Linked DNA regions of Callithrix jacchus. The protein of the gene in region 1 interacts with the protein of each later gene in a biochemical or structural test. Links are inferred from orthologs where the notes say so. Each region holds a gene or a part of one and is shown on either strand. Other genes may lie near its edges.

What was found.
Region 2: the proteins of TDRD3 (region 1) and TOP3B form a complex in vitro, tested with the Homo sapiens proteins (2 studies listed by BioGRID and IntAct, with this or other methods). The link is inferred for Callithrix jacchus from reciprocal best matches to the Homo sapiens genes TDRD3 and TOP3B.

The regions. Positions count from the first base shown.
Region 1 is NC_133502.1:55,107,933-55,115,759, forward strand, and holds part of TDRD3 (tudor domain-containing protein 3), read right to left. Parts: intron 3,067-7,827; coding exon 2,216-3,066; intron 1-2,215. UniProt on the Homo sapiens protein: Scaffolding protein that specifically recognizes and binds dimethylarginine-containing proteins. Plays a role in the regulation of translation of target mRNAs by binding Arg/Gly-rich motifs (GAR) in dimethylarginine-containing proteins.
Region 2 is NC_133502.1:193,909,297-193,917,123, forward strand, and holds part of TOP3B (DNA topoisomerase 3-beta-1), read right to left. Parts: intron 6,283-7,827; coding exon 6,192-6,282; intron 5,309-6,191; coding exon 5,154-5,308; intron 5,022-5,153; coding exon 4,916-5,021; intron 3,887-4,915; coding exon 3,740-3,886; intron 3,588-3,739; coding exon 3,414-3,587; intron 1,444-3,413; coding exon 1,315-1,443; intron 773-1,314; coding exon 623-772; intron 273-622; coding exon 172-272; intron 1-171. UniProt on the Homo sapiens protein: Releases the supercoiling and torsional tension of DNA introduced during the DNA replication and transcription by transiently cleaving and rejoining one strand of the DNA duplex.

The sequences.
Region 1 (7,827 bases):
AATAAACACTGTGCAGATGAAATACTGGAAAGGTTCTAGAAGATGTCATTTTTCCCAGTAACAGAATTGTATTTTCAACTGGCAGAGAGAATATAAGAAGATATCCCTGATCCTGCAGAGAGTTGCTTTTGACTTTGTAAGGGTTGTCTGTTTTAATTTTGCACTTACTACTCAGGGCATGATCCTTGTATGATTTCAATGGAAAGCCTGAGTCACTTAACAAGCCTTTCAAACATTTTGAATGTGAATCCCAATCTCTTACTTCTATTCTTGTCAAGGTCACCAATAACCCCATGTTATCTAAGATAGAAAACATTTTTCCGTCCTCATCTTAACCTTTCACAGAAGCATCTGACACAGTGACTGTTCTTTCTAAGGCAGCTACTATTGGCTCAATAAACACTGATTTCCAACTACTTTACTTTTTCTTGCTTCCATCATGAAAGACAAATAGCTAAATAATGAATCTCCTACTACTCAAATCAAATAGTTCCTGAATTTCAGAAAGTAAGTGGTCTGAGTTGGAAGAATAAGAATCTGGTTAGTGAAGACCACCTACATCTGCTTTTCAACCTTCCTAATAGCCAGAGAATGGCTATGTGAAATAGTTCCAAATCTGCTGGTATTCCTGGGAAGGCTTTTGCTTTTCCAGAGAAAAAGACAAGACACACAGTCCTGTCTCCTCCCTTCCTTCCAGCTTTAAGTAAAGATGTGACAGAGATGCTGTTTCTAAATAATTATCATTCTAGTCACACAAAAACCTTAAAAATATATGCCATCTAGCTGTATCCTCCTTTGTTCTATCATCAGGCAACACCTAATACTCTGCCTATACCTCATTATTTAATGAACACAAGAAGGCCTGGTTCATGACCCCATATTCCATTGCATCCTTATGAAAGGATCCACCCAAATCCCTAGTATGAATTTCAGTTCCTTGAAATCTTCAGTTACTTTTACTTACATTATTCCCTTTGGCTACACACTCTTATAGGCATATCCTTACCATATCAACTGCAACCTATAAAATACTTATTTTGAATATTTTTCCTCTTTGAGTTGCTTCTCACATCCACCCCGACATTCACTCTATAACTCCCTTACATATGGTTTAATTACCTTGCTATTACCTCCATCCCCTCGCCATCCTTTTTTCTCATATATAAGTGCCCCCTCCAGAATTAGCTAATTAACAGAGTTAACAAATAATTATGAAATCCATATACTGTAAAAGGAGCAAGACTACAGAGGAAAACCAGACACAGTACAGACTTCAAAGAACTTAATATCATGGTAGTGCAAACAGATACCAATTCAAGAACCAAACCCAAAAATATTTAAAAATTGTGACAAATTTTAAAAAGTTAAGGCATTGATTAAGAGAATAATGTACGTAGGAAGATGGGGCAGGTCAACGAAGGCTTCTTCTAGGAGGTGATGTTTGAGCCAAGCCCTCGAGGATGAGAAGAGTAGCTGACAGAAGAGCACATTGTACGGAAGGGAAAAAGTGTGCAAAGGCCCGTTCTCTGTGATGTACCCTCTGTCCTTTTCCCTTTCCTGTTCTCACTGTGCTGGTCTTCTATCTCTCGGCCAGGCTCTTACTCAAATCCTCATCTTGTATCTTTCCTTCCTTCTTTCCCCTACAATTTTTCTCTTTCCCTTTTAGCCAGCACATAATATAGAACTAAAGATTGGTTTAATAATTTTTACACTTGATATTTAATGGTTTAATAATTTTTAAATTATTATAAGATAAATAATTAACTTATATATTAACTTTTTTTAAAGTAGGCTGAATGTCTAATTTTTTTTAATTGAAAATCTGCAAAATTTCATTTTGTGCCACTCAACTGATTTTCTTCCATGTGAATCAGTGTAATTTTACTAGAGTGAAAAGCAAACATGCATAATTAAGCTGATGATAAGTAAAATAAAGTTCAACTTCACATAATTACTTTTACAATAGTTTTCTGGCATGTAAACTAAAACCATACCTAACTTAACCAAATGTTATGGAACAGATTGTCCCTAAGCATCCATAAAAATATTAAATATTTTGTTTATCCTTTATATAGCTATAAATCTGTCCGAAGATTTTAAATAAGTATAATTGTAGAAAAAAACCTCATAGTTCCAAAGTGATGGCTTCTATAAAGTCCCACTAGAATGTTACATTTAGTAATATTAGTGTATAATATCTTTAAAGTATCCATACCTTGTTGTCTTCCCAATAAAGTGCAAAACATTCATCTCCAGGTTTCCACATTTTTGCATACTCCATAGGAATAGATGATTCTAGTATTTTTTCTGGCTTAATTGGCCCAGATCTTCTTTTGGGACCACTATTATAAAACATTTTATCATCATAGGATATAGCTGTGATAGGTCCTGCTGGCTTAATAGGTCCTATTCGTCTTCCTTTCAGCGGCATTTCTACCTCTCCATTTGGAACACCGATGAAACTATTACTTCGAACTGGATTCTGATAATCAGTATTTACATTAAAATGTTTTTCAATTTTTTGACCACTGAAAGCTTCATTATTTATTGTTCGTGATCTCCTGTCATAAAAATGATCAGGATTAGATGTTTGGTTTTCTCTTTTTCCACGTTTTTGATTATTATAATCTATAGATTCTTGAGGACGTGGATTTTCTTTTGCATCTGCATAGGAGGGACCTTTTCCTGATCTGCTTTGCATAGAGTTATCTCTTTTTTTAAAAGCACCATCACTATGCTGAGAACGTAAAGGATACGAAGTATCTTTAGTTCTGTCATATCTAGAATATGGTCTATCACATTTGATTCTGTCTTCGGCCCATACTTCAGATGCTGAAGAAGTACCTGGTCTTTCAGAATCTCTATTTCTAGGTAATCCACTGCCTTCTAAAACTGACTTTGAATTTTGGGAGTCTCTTTGAAAACGAGGTGGTTTTTCATTTCTTGGCTGCCTGGTATCATTTCGAGGAAGAAATCTCAGTTGATTAGTATCTTTTATTCCATTTTGCTCAGTATTTGATGATCTGTATTGTCCCTGATGAAGCTGCTGTGGCTGTGATTTAGGTTCTGAAAGGTAAAAGTATACCATATGCACATTAACATGAAGACTCTGCATTAATAATTATTTTTAAATGCTTCAAATTATTCTGTTAATACAAAATTATCACACTACTATTTTAAAATCTTTGTCAATTTTCCTTCCTTATTATCTTACTCCTTCTCTGCCTCCTTGGAGTCCTGTATTTTTAATGTACAGTTTTCTTAGTCAGCAATATTAATAAAGTAAAGCAGTAAAATGGACCACAGAAAAGTGATGGATAATCCAAATTCTTATAATACAGCTGCCTACATATGCTATTCTGGTAAATAATTTCCTAAAACATTAATGAGGTCGGGTGTGGTGGCTCACGCCTGTAATCCCAGAACTTTGGGAGGCCGAGGTGGGCGGATCACCAGAGGTCAGGAGACTGAGACCATCCTGGTCAACTTGGTGAAACCATGACTCTACTAAAAAATTAGCCAGGTGTGGTGGCATGCACCTGTAGTTCCAGCTACTCAGGAGGCTGAGGCAGGACAATCACTTGAACCCAGTAGGCAGAGGTTGCAATAAGCCAAGATCCCGCACTGCACTCCAGCCTGAGTAACATAGAGAGACTCAGTCACAAAAACAAACAAACAAACAAAATTAATGAAATAGAACTACAAATTGCCAACTCAAAAACTACTATGAAACTGCACAAGTACAACCCTGTTCATCTCTTTCTGAATGCCACTCTAATTTAGAAATATAGAGCTATTATCAATCATGTTCTAGCCTTTGCAAACATGTTCCTTTTCAAATCCTTCTGGATCTGGAATTGCTAAGTGTTTATGTTACAAACAGATATCCTACTACTAAAAAAGAGTAAGAGTTAATTTTCTAGATCTGTTAAAGTAATTAAGTAAGAGTAGGTATTATTTGGAAATACAGAAAAAAGTGTCAAAAGTGGAAATACTGAAAAGGTGTCAAAACATTACTAAGCATAATAGTGCATATAATGTACAAGCAGTGACATGATAAACATATATAGAAAAATTTTAATGGCTGAATTTCACAGTGATTTTTATTGATTCAATTTGTACAGTGTAATTTATACTTTCTTCCTCCATCATTTCACATTGCATGTCTATAACATTATAACCAAATATATTCATTGATCTTTGGTGCATATGTCTTGTTTCTGTTGTCATATATCATAATCAACACGCAGCTGTAATTATTCTTATATTTCCCCAGGGTCACAACATTTCCAAAGAGAGCCTCTACTGATATCTTGGGTGAGATTGTTTCCAAAGATGTAAGGAAATTAACTGCAAGAAAATTAACTTCTTTGGCCTACAGATACAAAATGCCCCTAGCATCCCCAGGCACTCTGACTATCAAAACTGTCCCCAAACATTTCCAAACAGCCACTGGAGGCCAAAAGGTATCTGGTAAATTGTTTAAAACAACAGGAATAAAGGTTTAAAGGTTACTGAGTGACAAAACAGGTAACCAATTAAAGATCAAGACACAAGTGGTCAGGCCAGGCATGGTAGCTTGCACCTGTAATCCCAGCACTTTGGGAGGCTGAGGTGAGTATATCACTTGAGGCCAGGAGTTTGAGACCAGCCTAGGCAATGTGGTGAAACCTTGTCCCTACTAAAAATACAAAAATTAGCTGGGTGTGGTGGTGCACACCTGTAATCCCAGCTACTCTGGAAGCTGAGGCAGGATAATCACTTGAACCCGGGAGGCGGAGGTTGCAGTGAGATGAGACCATGCCACTGCACTCCAGCCTGGGTGACAGAGCAAAAAACTCTGTCTCAAAAAAAAAAAAAAAAAAGAGAGACTCAAATGGTCCAAAAAACCCCTTCTCAACAGAACCAATGGAAGCTAGAAGCCAAAAGGGTTTAAGTATCTTTAACATTTTAGGAGATTTTCTAAGGAAAAAAATTAATCCAGTTAAACCACCCCTTAATCATGACAAAGAATAAAGATTTTCCTAAGATACAAGATTTCAAAAATTAGCCAAGGCCATAAGAGATTTCTTAAAAAAAATAAAAATAAAAACACTTTCCCCCAAGAATATCTGCCTTATAAACTTAACGTAAATGTCATATTTTAACAAATGTAGTCAATATTGAATTTTTCTTTAGAGAGAAGAAAAATGGTCACTTTAAGTTTCTGCTGGCATTGTTTACTGTCCAGGAGTAAAGACTCTGGGAAGAACAGTGGTGACCATAATCAGGACATAAACAAGTGCTTTCAGCAGAAGGCATGTATTGGCTTTTTTCCCAGACATTATTGGAAAATAAAAGCAGCAGTTGCCTCCTGTTGACTGGTTGATTATCTGCTAGGTTCAGTTAGCCCACACTAGTACTTTATATACATTATCAATAGACCCCTAGGTCGTTTTATGATACAGGTGTTATGAGGCTTATCAGAGAGAGGTAAAGTAAGGTCCTTGTATAGTACATTAAATAAGTAACTGTTTAGGGATCAACTTTTCTTAAATTATTCCAGTTAGGGCCACCAATATCTTTGATAATCAGGAGGTACAGAAAAAATTAAGATACACGAAAGTAATAAGTATCCTGGACTACAGATGAAGGCTGAATAACGATGTACAAAGAATGAAAGTTCAATCAGGCTTGGCAGGTGTGGCAGAATTTGATTTCAATTCTTCTAAAAGGAAAATATGAAAAATTTCCTAATCTACAATTTAGAATTAAGGGGTATTTCCCTACACACATATAGTTTAAAAGTGAAGAGATGAAAGAAGATGTACCATGCTAAGAAAAAAAACAGAATTAAGGGGTACTATGGATCTAAGGAACTATCCTGGAGAACTATATTAATAGGAAAATGTAAAATGTCTTCATTTTGTTCCGGATGCAAATTACTTAAAGAACTTCTGATTTTTTTTTTATTATTGTTTTTACTAACATTTAACACTTTCATTTATGTACTCAAGCAGTCTTGTATCAAAAGTACTATCTCAGAAAAGAGAATGACAAATTCCCTAACAGCTTATTATTTAACAAATAAACAAGCCTAGGAAACTTCTGATAGTAAAGAGGAAAAATCATTCCATTTAGAACTTAAGATATTATTTTCAGTTACTGAATTAATGATGATATACATTAGACTATAGAATAAAAGAAGTAATTTTGTTAATAATGAACATACCTCATTTCCATTACTATGCTGAGATAATATAGTAAGAGTAAAATTTATAAATAAAATTATTTTTTAAAAATAAGAATTCCTGGCCAGGCATGGTGGCTCACCCCCATAATCCCAGCACTTTGGGAGGCCGAGGCGGTGGATCACCTGAGGTCAGAAGTTCGAGACCATCCTGGTCAACATGGTGAAACCCCAACTCTACTAAAAACGCAAAAATTAGTCAGTCTTGGTGGAGTGGCCCTGTAATTCCAGTTACTTGAGAGGCTGAAGGGGAGAACTGCTTGAACCTGGGAGGTGGAGGCTGCAGTGAGTCGAGATGGCACCACTACACTCTAGCCTGGATGACAGAGCGAGACCCCGTCTCAAAAAAAAAAAGTTTTTTTTGTTTTTTTGTTTTTTTTTTGAGATGGAAACTTGTTGTCGCCCAGGCTGGAGTGCAGTGGCATGATCTTGGCTCACTGTAACTTCTGCCTCCCCCGGGGGCTCAAGTGATTCTCTTGCCTCTGCCTCCCAAGTAGCTGGGATTATAGGCACCCACCACCACGCCCAGGTAATTTTTGTATTTTTAGTAGAGACGGGGTATTACCATGTTGGCCAGGCTGGTCCCGAACTCCTGACCTCATGATCCACCCACCTCAGCCTCCCAAAGTGCTGGGATTACAGGTGTGAGCCACTGTTCCCGGCCGTAAATTGTGTTTTCAAAATAAGTTAGTTTTCATATATATCCATTTCATTCAAAATGAAATAACAGCTAAGAAGTCATCTTGGATTCCTAATCAGTCTTGGATTCATCATCCAATCATTCTTGGATTTCCTTAAGCCCAGTACATTTTAGGTTAGTTAAATCATAAAGTCATATATAAAGTAAGTGTTTTCAAACTGGGCTTATCTATGAAACACATAACAAATATACTCAATTACTAAATTGTGGGAGAGGCAATATTTTTTCCTTTTTTTTTTTTTTTTTTTGAGATGGAATCTCACTCTGTCACCCAGGCTGGAGTGCAGTGGAGAGATCTTGGCTCGTTGCGCAGGTTCAAGCGATTCTCTGCCTCAGCCTTCCAAGTAGCTGTGATTACAGGTGCAGGCCACTACGCCTAGCTAATTGTATTTTTAGTAGAGACGGGGTATCACCATGTTGGCCAGGCTGGTCTCGAACTCCTGACCTCAAGTGATCTGCCCAGCTCGGCCTCCCTAAGTGTTGGGATTACCGTGAGCCAACATGCTCAGCAATTTTAAATAAACTAAGGAATATACTCCAAATCAATTGCGAAGACAGCTCCTTGGTTACCCAGTCAGAATCTGATTGTTCTCCTCTACCCTTTTTGAGGTGGCATCATGACTCTAAACTACATTAGATACCAAATGTGCAGCACAGGTCAAGTCTATAATCACTCTAATAAATATACTAAGATATTCTTCCATACAGGCAGCAGGCTAAAATGCATCACATTTTTTTTAAATTGCCCCAAAGGAAAGGTTGAAAACAAAAGCACAAGTAGAAATGAGTAACATTTAACATTAAAAAGCAGAAAATATAAAAGATTGGCAAAAAAGTGATAGAAAAATGTATTACGGGCCCGGCACAGTGCCTCACGCCTGTAATCCCAGCACTTTGG
Region 2 (7,827 bases), about 140 Mb from region 1:
TGGCTGTGTTTGAGGGGTCATGGGGACACTGGATATTTTTCGGCAAGGCTGCTTTATGCTCATTCTTCTGTGACAATCAGGACAAAGAATGTAATTCCTACATGACCAACGATAAAGCTGAAGCCCACAGGGGTGAAGCAGCTTGCCCAAGTCAGTGCTCCCCGAACCTACCTGGATGTACTTCATGAAGCGGTGGCACTTCCCGCAGCGTGACAGGGGCTTGCCTGTGGCCGCCAGGGGTGAGAAAGACACCTCCATTAACTCATCCATGCCTGCGGGCAAGCAGAGTGCAGAAGTCACCTCTCTCATAGTCTCTGGCAGAAGGCGCCACCATACGTGGTCAAGGGTTTGAGTGTGAGAGGGTCCCTGCAGGTGCTGGTTTCTACTGTCCATGGCAGAACGGCAGGGCAGCAGCTCCGTACATCAGAGCACATGCTCTTGGCCATGTGTGGTGCAAATGCACCTGCTCTTTTAACCAAGCCAGGTGGTGTCACTACCCTGACCTACAGAGGCCTGGAGCCCAGATCTGGGAGCTGGTCTTATGTGGGGACCGGGGTCCCCAGGTGTTGGCTGTGCTGACAGAGGGTCCTCTGATGAGGGGCAGGCCAGAGGCAGACTCTACCTGCAATGGAGTCGACAAAGTAGTGGAACTTCCTCTTGAACACGTCCAGGGTGTGGCCCAGGACCTGGCGGTAGTCGGCCTTGCCCTGGGCGATCAGGTTCAGCTGCTTCTCCACTGCACTTCGGATGGTGGGGAGCACTAGCTCTGCATCTGCAAGTGGGCAGGGGGCAGATACTTCCCTGAGCACTCATGCCCAGAGCCTGCCCACCCCTCCTGCTCCGGCCCGTCCTCCTGGCCTCTGCCCTGTCCGCCAGTCCACAGCCTCAGATGGTACCAGGCTGGCTCCTATACCCCCAGACCTTTCCTGACTTCTCACCCGGAAATCTCAGGCAGAGTGCCCGGTGGCTAGAACCACATCACAGATGAGCTCCAGGCTGCCCTTGGGCCAGTTCTGTGCTCCTCCCTCTCCCCTTGGCCTCTGGGGAACCTCCAGAGGATAGAGCTGAGGCACCTTCGCCTCCTCTTTTGGTTCCCTCACACATGTCCATTCAGCTTTCAAACACACCCAGCTCCTGCTCTGGGCAGGTCCTGGGGGTCCTGGGGAAGCGCCCCTTCAGTGGTGTTGAGGGAGTGCATGTGGGGCTGGGGGATCACTCCAGGGCAGGGCCTGTCTGGAGGGGGCGGCAGAGCCAATGCCCAGGGAGAAGCTAGGAATTCCCGGTGAACCCTGGGGGCAGGGCCGAGGGACTCACCAATCTTGTAGTAGCCGTGCACCAGGACAATGCCGAGGTTGGTGGGTTTGAGCCGGCGCCCGCTCTCCACGGTGACATAGTTGCGCTGGCAGATGTTGTTGATATGCACAGGGATGCTGGCATCTGTGCCTGCAACGTACAAGGCCCCAGGGTTCCTGGCCTACCCTGGACACGCCTCACTGAACTACATGCTGTAGCCACTGCCACAGGGCCCCTGGTGCTCAGGCTCTCTCACGGCTCCTGGCCACCCACAGGAGGGAGGGCTGTGCTCTGAGCACCCACTGCACTGTGCTGGGCATCAACTGCATGCCTTTCATGTTCTGCCTTGAGAACACAAGGGCAGCCCTCTCTGCACGGGGTCTACTCCTGCTTTATGGTAGAGGCTCGGAGGTTAAGGAACTCTCCAAGGTCACAGTGCTTATTCTGTGCCTGGTAAACGTGACTTCTTTGGCTTCTCCTGCCTGGATCCTGTGGCACCCACCTGGTCCTGGAGCCAGAGCCCCCTCTACCAGAACATGGAGGTGCTTACAAGCTCACTGCAAAGACACTTCCTGTCTCCCATCTCCTCCCTCTCTGCAAGGCCTGTCACGGTACACAGGGCAGGCTCCCAGTCCCCAGGATTCCTCTCTCCCACCCAGAGCCTTCCTGGCAGAGGGGCGCAGCAGAGGCTGAGGCATTCTGACTATGGTGGGTGCCAGTCAGAGGGGCAGAAAAGAAGCTTAGGCTCCCTGCACTCTCACCAGCATGGGCAGGTGACATACACCTTCCCAAAGCAGCTTGCAGAGAATATCACATGGGAAGAAACTGGCCTCCAGGGGCTAAGGAGCCTGTCGAAGCTCGGCACCTGGTGTGGCAGGCTGTGGGTAGTATGTGCTGCCACCATGTGAGTCTGCCAGGTGCCATGATGTGTGGTATGGGCTCCTCTGCAGCATGTGCCCTGCCCGCTGTATTCTCACCCCAGACCTGGGTGGCGGCTCCTGGTTAGGCCCCTTTTACACACTCCTGGGGGCTCAGTCACAGGCTCAGACCATTCTCCTGTTCAGAAGGTAACACCAGAGCCCTCTTCACTGTCACAAACTTGTATTGGTGATTGGGTCTTGCTCACTGGATACCATAGGGCTGCCAGGAGCCACAGTAACCCATCAGTGGGAGAGAGCAGAAGACGCAGGGGGAGCACAGCCCACACTCCACAGTGGGCTGAGGGCTGCTATTTCAGGACCTTGGCAGGTGCCCTGGACCTCTGGGAGGAGCAAGCCCAGAGCTCTGCTCTCCTGCCAAGGTTGCCACAGTCACCAGGACCCTAGCCTGGGGAGAGACACTCCCTGAGAGTCCACCTCTATGACCACTGCTGGAGCAGAGCCTGGACACAGTGGCTGTGACATCCCACAGGCCTCTGGAACCCATCAGCCAGGCACAGCTGGAGATGAAGCCACAGGCAACAGGCAGTGCCCAGCAGTGCGAGTGCCACCTGGGAGAAGGTTCTGTCAATGAGGCTGGCCCCCAACATATGAGACCTCACTCAGCCCTAGGCCTGAGGACTTGTGAGGCCACCTCTCCTGTGAGGAGTGTGCACTGGTGACTACATTTTTGCTTTGATAAACTCCCCTGGGCTGCCCATTCTTGGTTAGAAACTTCTTGGTCACCCTTTGGGGAGCCCTGTCCCTTGGACAGGCATTTCTGTTCCCTCCGCCAGGGAAGCAGTTCCTGTGAGAGCTCATTTCCCTGTCATGTGACTTCAGGACAGACCAGGCTGGCTGTGTGGACTGAGGAGACTGCCAAAATGATTTCTATGAGCCATTTGGCATCTGGGCCAATCGTCAGCACTGTGGGCATTAGTCAGTGTGTGCCCACCCCACAGTGCACGAGGGCACATCTGGGCCTTCACAGAGAAGGCCAGGTTCTGAGTGGAGGCCTCGGGAGGGGATGCCTGCTGTGGACCTGCAAGGCTGGCCACATGTGGGGTCATCAGTTTCCAGATACCAGTCCATGGATGGGTGCTGGGCTAGGCACATAGGGGTGGCTGGGCAGCTTTGTGAGTAGACTCTCAGCCTGAGTGCTGGAGACAGAGCTGGCTCTGGGGCCTGGGCAGGCATACCCACCGATGCCGTGCTTCTCCATGAGCGTGATGAGCTCAGCCTCCGTCAGGTAGTCGGGTGGGCTCGTCTGCTTCTCCAGCATCTTTACCTCACTCACAGTGAAGGTGTCACCCCGCTGGCAGGTGGGCAGGCTCTCCTCCAGGGGCACGCTCTGCCAGGGCATAATCTCCGTGAAGCCTGGAAAGACAGGTGCCACCACTCAGGGTCCCCAGCCTTGAGGGGCCTGGGTCTCAGACCCTGGGCCTCCCATTCCCAGACACAATGTAGAATGGTTTTTTTTTGTCTGCCCATGAAGGTGGGGAGGAGGAAAGCTGGGCCCGCAGTGTGACCTGGTGAGAGGACGGTCTTCCCAGAGCAGGTGAAGAGCTCTGGCCCAATCCTGAAGGAGATGGTGCTCTGCAGGTACTTGCAGTCATGGCTGACTGTGGCGATGAAATGTCTGGTGATGTATTCGTAGAGCCGCCATGCGTCACCCCCTGCAACAGGCCAGGGCTAGTTAGCTGGGAGCCAGCTGAAGGCTCTGATCGTGAGGAGCCCCTAGCACTCTTGCTTGAGCAGCAAGGTCCTGCTTCCAGGGCCACTGTGTGGGACACACTGCAAATTCAGGGAAGCAGGAAAGAAAATGTGCAGGAAGGCTGGACGCGGTGGCTCACACCTGTAATCCCAGCACTTTGGGAGGCTAAGGCAAACTCCTACTTGAAGTCAGGAGTTTGAGACCAGCGTGGCCAACATGGTGAAATCCTGTCTCTACTAAAAATACAAAGAAATTAGCCGGGTGTGATGGTAGGCACCTGTAATCCCAGCTACTCAGGAGGCTGAGGCAGGAGAACTCCTTGAACTTGGGAGACATAGGTTGCAGTGAGCTGAGATCAGGCCACTGCACTCCAGCCTGGGTGACAGAGCAAGACTCTGTCTCAAAAAAAGAAGAAAATGTGGAGGAAGGGAACACAAACCTCTGTGCCTCAGTGGTTCCTTCATGGCTGCAGCTCCTCCCACCCTGCACAACCTCTTGCCCCTGCTTCTGGCAGGACTATTCTTCAGGTGTGGGCCTATCCTTCTACTGTCTCGTGACATGACACCATCACTTCAAATTCAGACTGTCCACAAGTGGCCCCTGTCTCTACCTGCACTGCTCTCCCTTCCTCATCTGCCTTCTCCTGGCACTTGGACCACTGGTACCACCTCAGGCCAGCTGGGAGGTAGGAGGCACCCCCTACACCCCACCGCTGAAACCTGCCACTCTCTGCCTTGGTTTCATTTATGTCCCCTGTATCGTCTGCCCCCGTGCCTCCCTGCAACAGCCACCTGCACCTGCTGCCACCTCTTCATTCCTGGCCTGTTCCCACAGTAATGAAGCTCATTTTCCAGGTGACTCCCCCCTTGCCCCAGCCAGGGCAGGCAGGGGCTGAAGGAGCCCCACATTGCCAGCAGGGCCTGCAACCTTCACTGTCGAAGCTTGCCTTTCCCTCCCTGGAAGCATGGCAGGTATGGGGTGAGAGGGGTACCTAATTCAGCTTCTGTGGCAGACCTCATGGGGGTGATGGGGGGATGGTCGCCGGCATCGTGGCCTTTCCGTGGGCGGTTGATACCTTCTGCTAACAACCGCTTTACCTGAGGGAGAGAAGACAGAGCAGAGTCTGTGGCTGGGCTCGGCTGCCTGCCTGGGTTTGGCTCAAGTACCAGACCTGGTCCTAAGGCCTCAGTGACACATACACATGTGGGGGCCGGCCTGGCTCAACTCACCATGTCAGCCCAGTAGGGGTGGTTGGCCTGCTGCCGCAGAGCACCCTTCAGGTCAAAGTTCTCAGGGTAGTGGGTGGTCTCTGTACGTGGGTAGCTGATGTAGCCTTGTGTGTAGAGCCGCTCGGCTGTCTGCATGGCGTGCTGTGGTCCCATGCCTGTGAGAGACAGGAGGCTCTCAGAGGGTCAGGTGCCTACCCTGATCTGTGTACTCAGGCTCCCCGCAAGGTGGCCAGCCCCTCCTGGAGGGTAAGGGTGGCTCTGGACAGGCATGGCTAGAGTGCAGAGCTGCTGGCCAGGTGGGCACCTATGCCACACAGCCTTGTCTGAGGTTGAATCCTGCACCTGTGAGAGTGGGTCCAGGAGGGGCCTGATGGGAAACGCTGCTCACTCAGGACTCGTGGCCATGGGGATAAGACATGGCCTTCAGAGCACTGCTCCCTACGCACTGGCCACGGAGCCATAACCATGCCTCGGGTTGGCTGACGGCAGAGTTAGCACATAGCCCATTTTGAGCCCTTGGGTATTTCTGTCCTCATGGCACTCTGGGGCCACTGAGGGGGGCTCGCCTTGTTATTTCCTGGCCAGCAGAGGCTGGCACTTAGCTAGCAACCACTCCCAGCATTGCTGCCCTCTGATGCCACCACTCTGAGAGGACACTGCCAATAGTTCCCTGCAGGGGGGCACCAATGCCTAGGGGCTGACAGCTTCCAGAGACCACCAGCTTTCCAGCCCAACCCCCTCCTAACTACTGCGGAGACAAGGCTGAAAGGAGACCAGGCTGATAGGCGACGTTCACACTAGTTCCCAGAAGGTGACATAGCTGCTCAGGGACTCTAACATCAGGATGTCCCCTCAGGGGGTGACCAACTTTAACACCTTTACAACCTAAGGAGTGAAATCCTCACGAGGCTCAGATCTTGAAACCTCAGGCACCACCTTGCCTCCTTGGGCACTCACTGCTCCAGGCTGAACCTGCTTCTACAAGCCTGCCTTAGGAAGCCTTCTGGAGACTAAATTTAGAGAAATGTCCCTACTTACCCAGAGAAGAGCTGGCTACACGCAACATCTCCACAGTGTTCAGGGCCAGAGGCCTCTGCTTGGCCTTTTCTTTCCTGCTTGTGGCCTCCACCTGGAAGACAGGATAGTCAGTGATTTGGGGGAGGAGGAAGATACCACCATAGATGAAATCAAGATGTGTGGATAATGAGCTTAGGAATTCTCTTAAAAAAAAATAAAGAAGTGTGGACAAAGGGTCTGGTCTCATTCATTTGGTCTCCCTGCTTCTCCAATTCATTTCTTCTCAACAGTTTAAAGACTTGATTGAATATTTATTCAGGACCAGGACCAGGAAGGGTAAAAGAATAAAAATTTTCTTTAAAAAAGAATTTTTTAAGAGACAGGCTGGAGTGTCTATTGCCCAGGCTGGAGTGCAGCGGTACCGTCAGAGCTTACCCTCAGGTACCATCAGCCTTGAACTCCTGGGTCAAGTGATCTTCCTGCCTCAGCCTCCTGAATAGCTGAAACCACAGGAACACACCATCATACCTGACCAATTTTTTATTTTTTCAATTTCTTGTACAGACAGTATCTTGTTATGTTGCCCAGGCTAGTCTTAAACTCTTGGCCTCAAGTGATCCTCTCACCTCAGCTTCTCAAAGTGCTAGGATTACAGGCATGTGCCACCATGTCCAGCTACTTTAAAAAAATTTTTTTTTTTTTTTGAGACAGGGTCTTCCTGTGTTCCAGGCTGGTCTCAAACTCCTGGCCTCAAGTGATTGAATATTCTTTTCTGAGAATTTTCTAGGGGAATAGAAAACCTGGAAGACTGAGGAGGAGTCAGAAGAGCTGCAGATGGAAATCCTACAGAAGCCAGCATCAGCCAGGCTACAGGGAGGGCAAGTGGGGCCCGTCCCAGGACAGTGCTGCTCCTTGCTGTGGGGAGGGCTGCTGCCTGTGCCTGGTAGTACTGCTACCTCTTCTGATTTTTCAAGAGAAGCTAGAAGGTAGAATTTTCGTGTGAAATCTCCTAATTTTTAAGTACTGGTAACTGCTCTGGCATTTCTGTAAATACCTCATAGGCAGTGAAGTGCACCCGTGAGCTGTGCTTGACTGGGGTCCCACCACTGTCTACCTCTGCTGAGCATTTGTTCAAAGAGACACCTCTTTGTTTTGCCTACGGCAAGAACAATCCAAACAACTCAACTCCTTGCCCTTGCCAAACCCACGTAGGCTGGTCAGGGCAGTGCCTTCTGCATTCCTGACTGACAGATGTGGGTGCTAACATGGAGATCAGCTGTTATGCAGCAGGGAGTCTGGGCTCCCTGAAGTAAGGGCGGGAGGCGGCGACAGTGTCTCTCCAGGAATGTGATCAATGCTGACAGGCTGGAGCAGCTTTAGAAGTCTCAGATGTCTGAGACCTTTTGCTGCCATGGCATGGCGGGCAAAAGTGCACTCAAGGAAGGTCGAAGAAGGACAAGGAGAAAGCGGCTAAGGAGGCCAGGCTGTGTCTCAATGGATCTGGTAGCTGTCATGCCTGTAGCATGTTTACTTCAGTAGCCACAGATGGGTCCCCAACCTGTGCAGCCAGGTCACCTCATCCTTTTCCTAACAACCAAGCAGCATGTCCTTCAATTCATAGAAACCCTGAGTAAGAAACGTAATCCCATAAAAACAT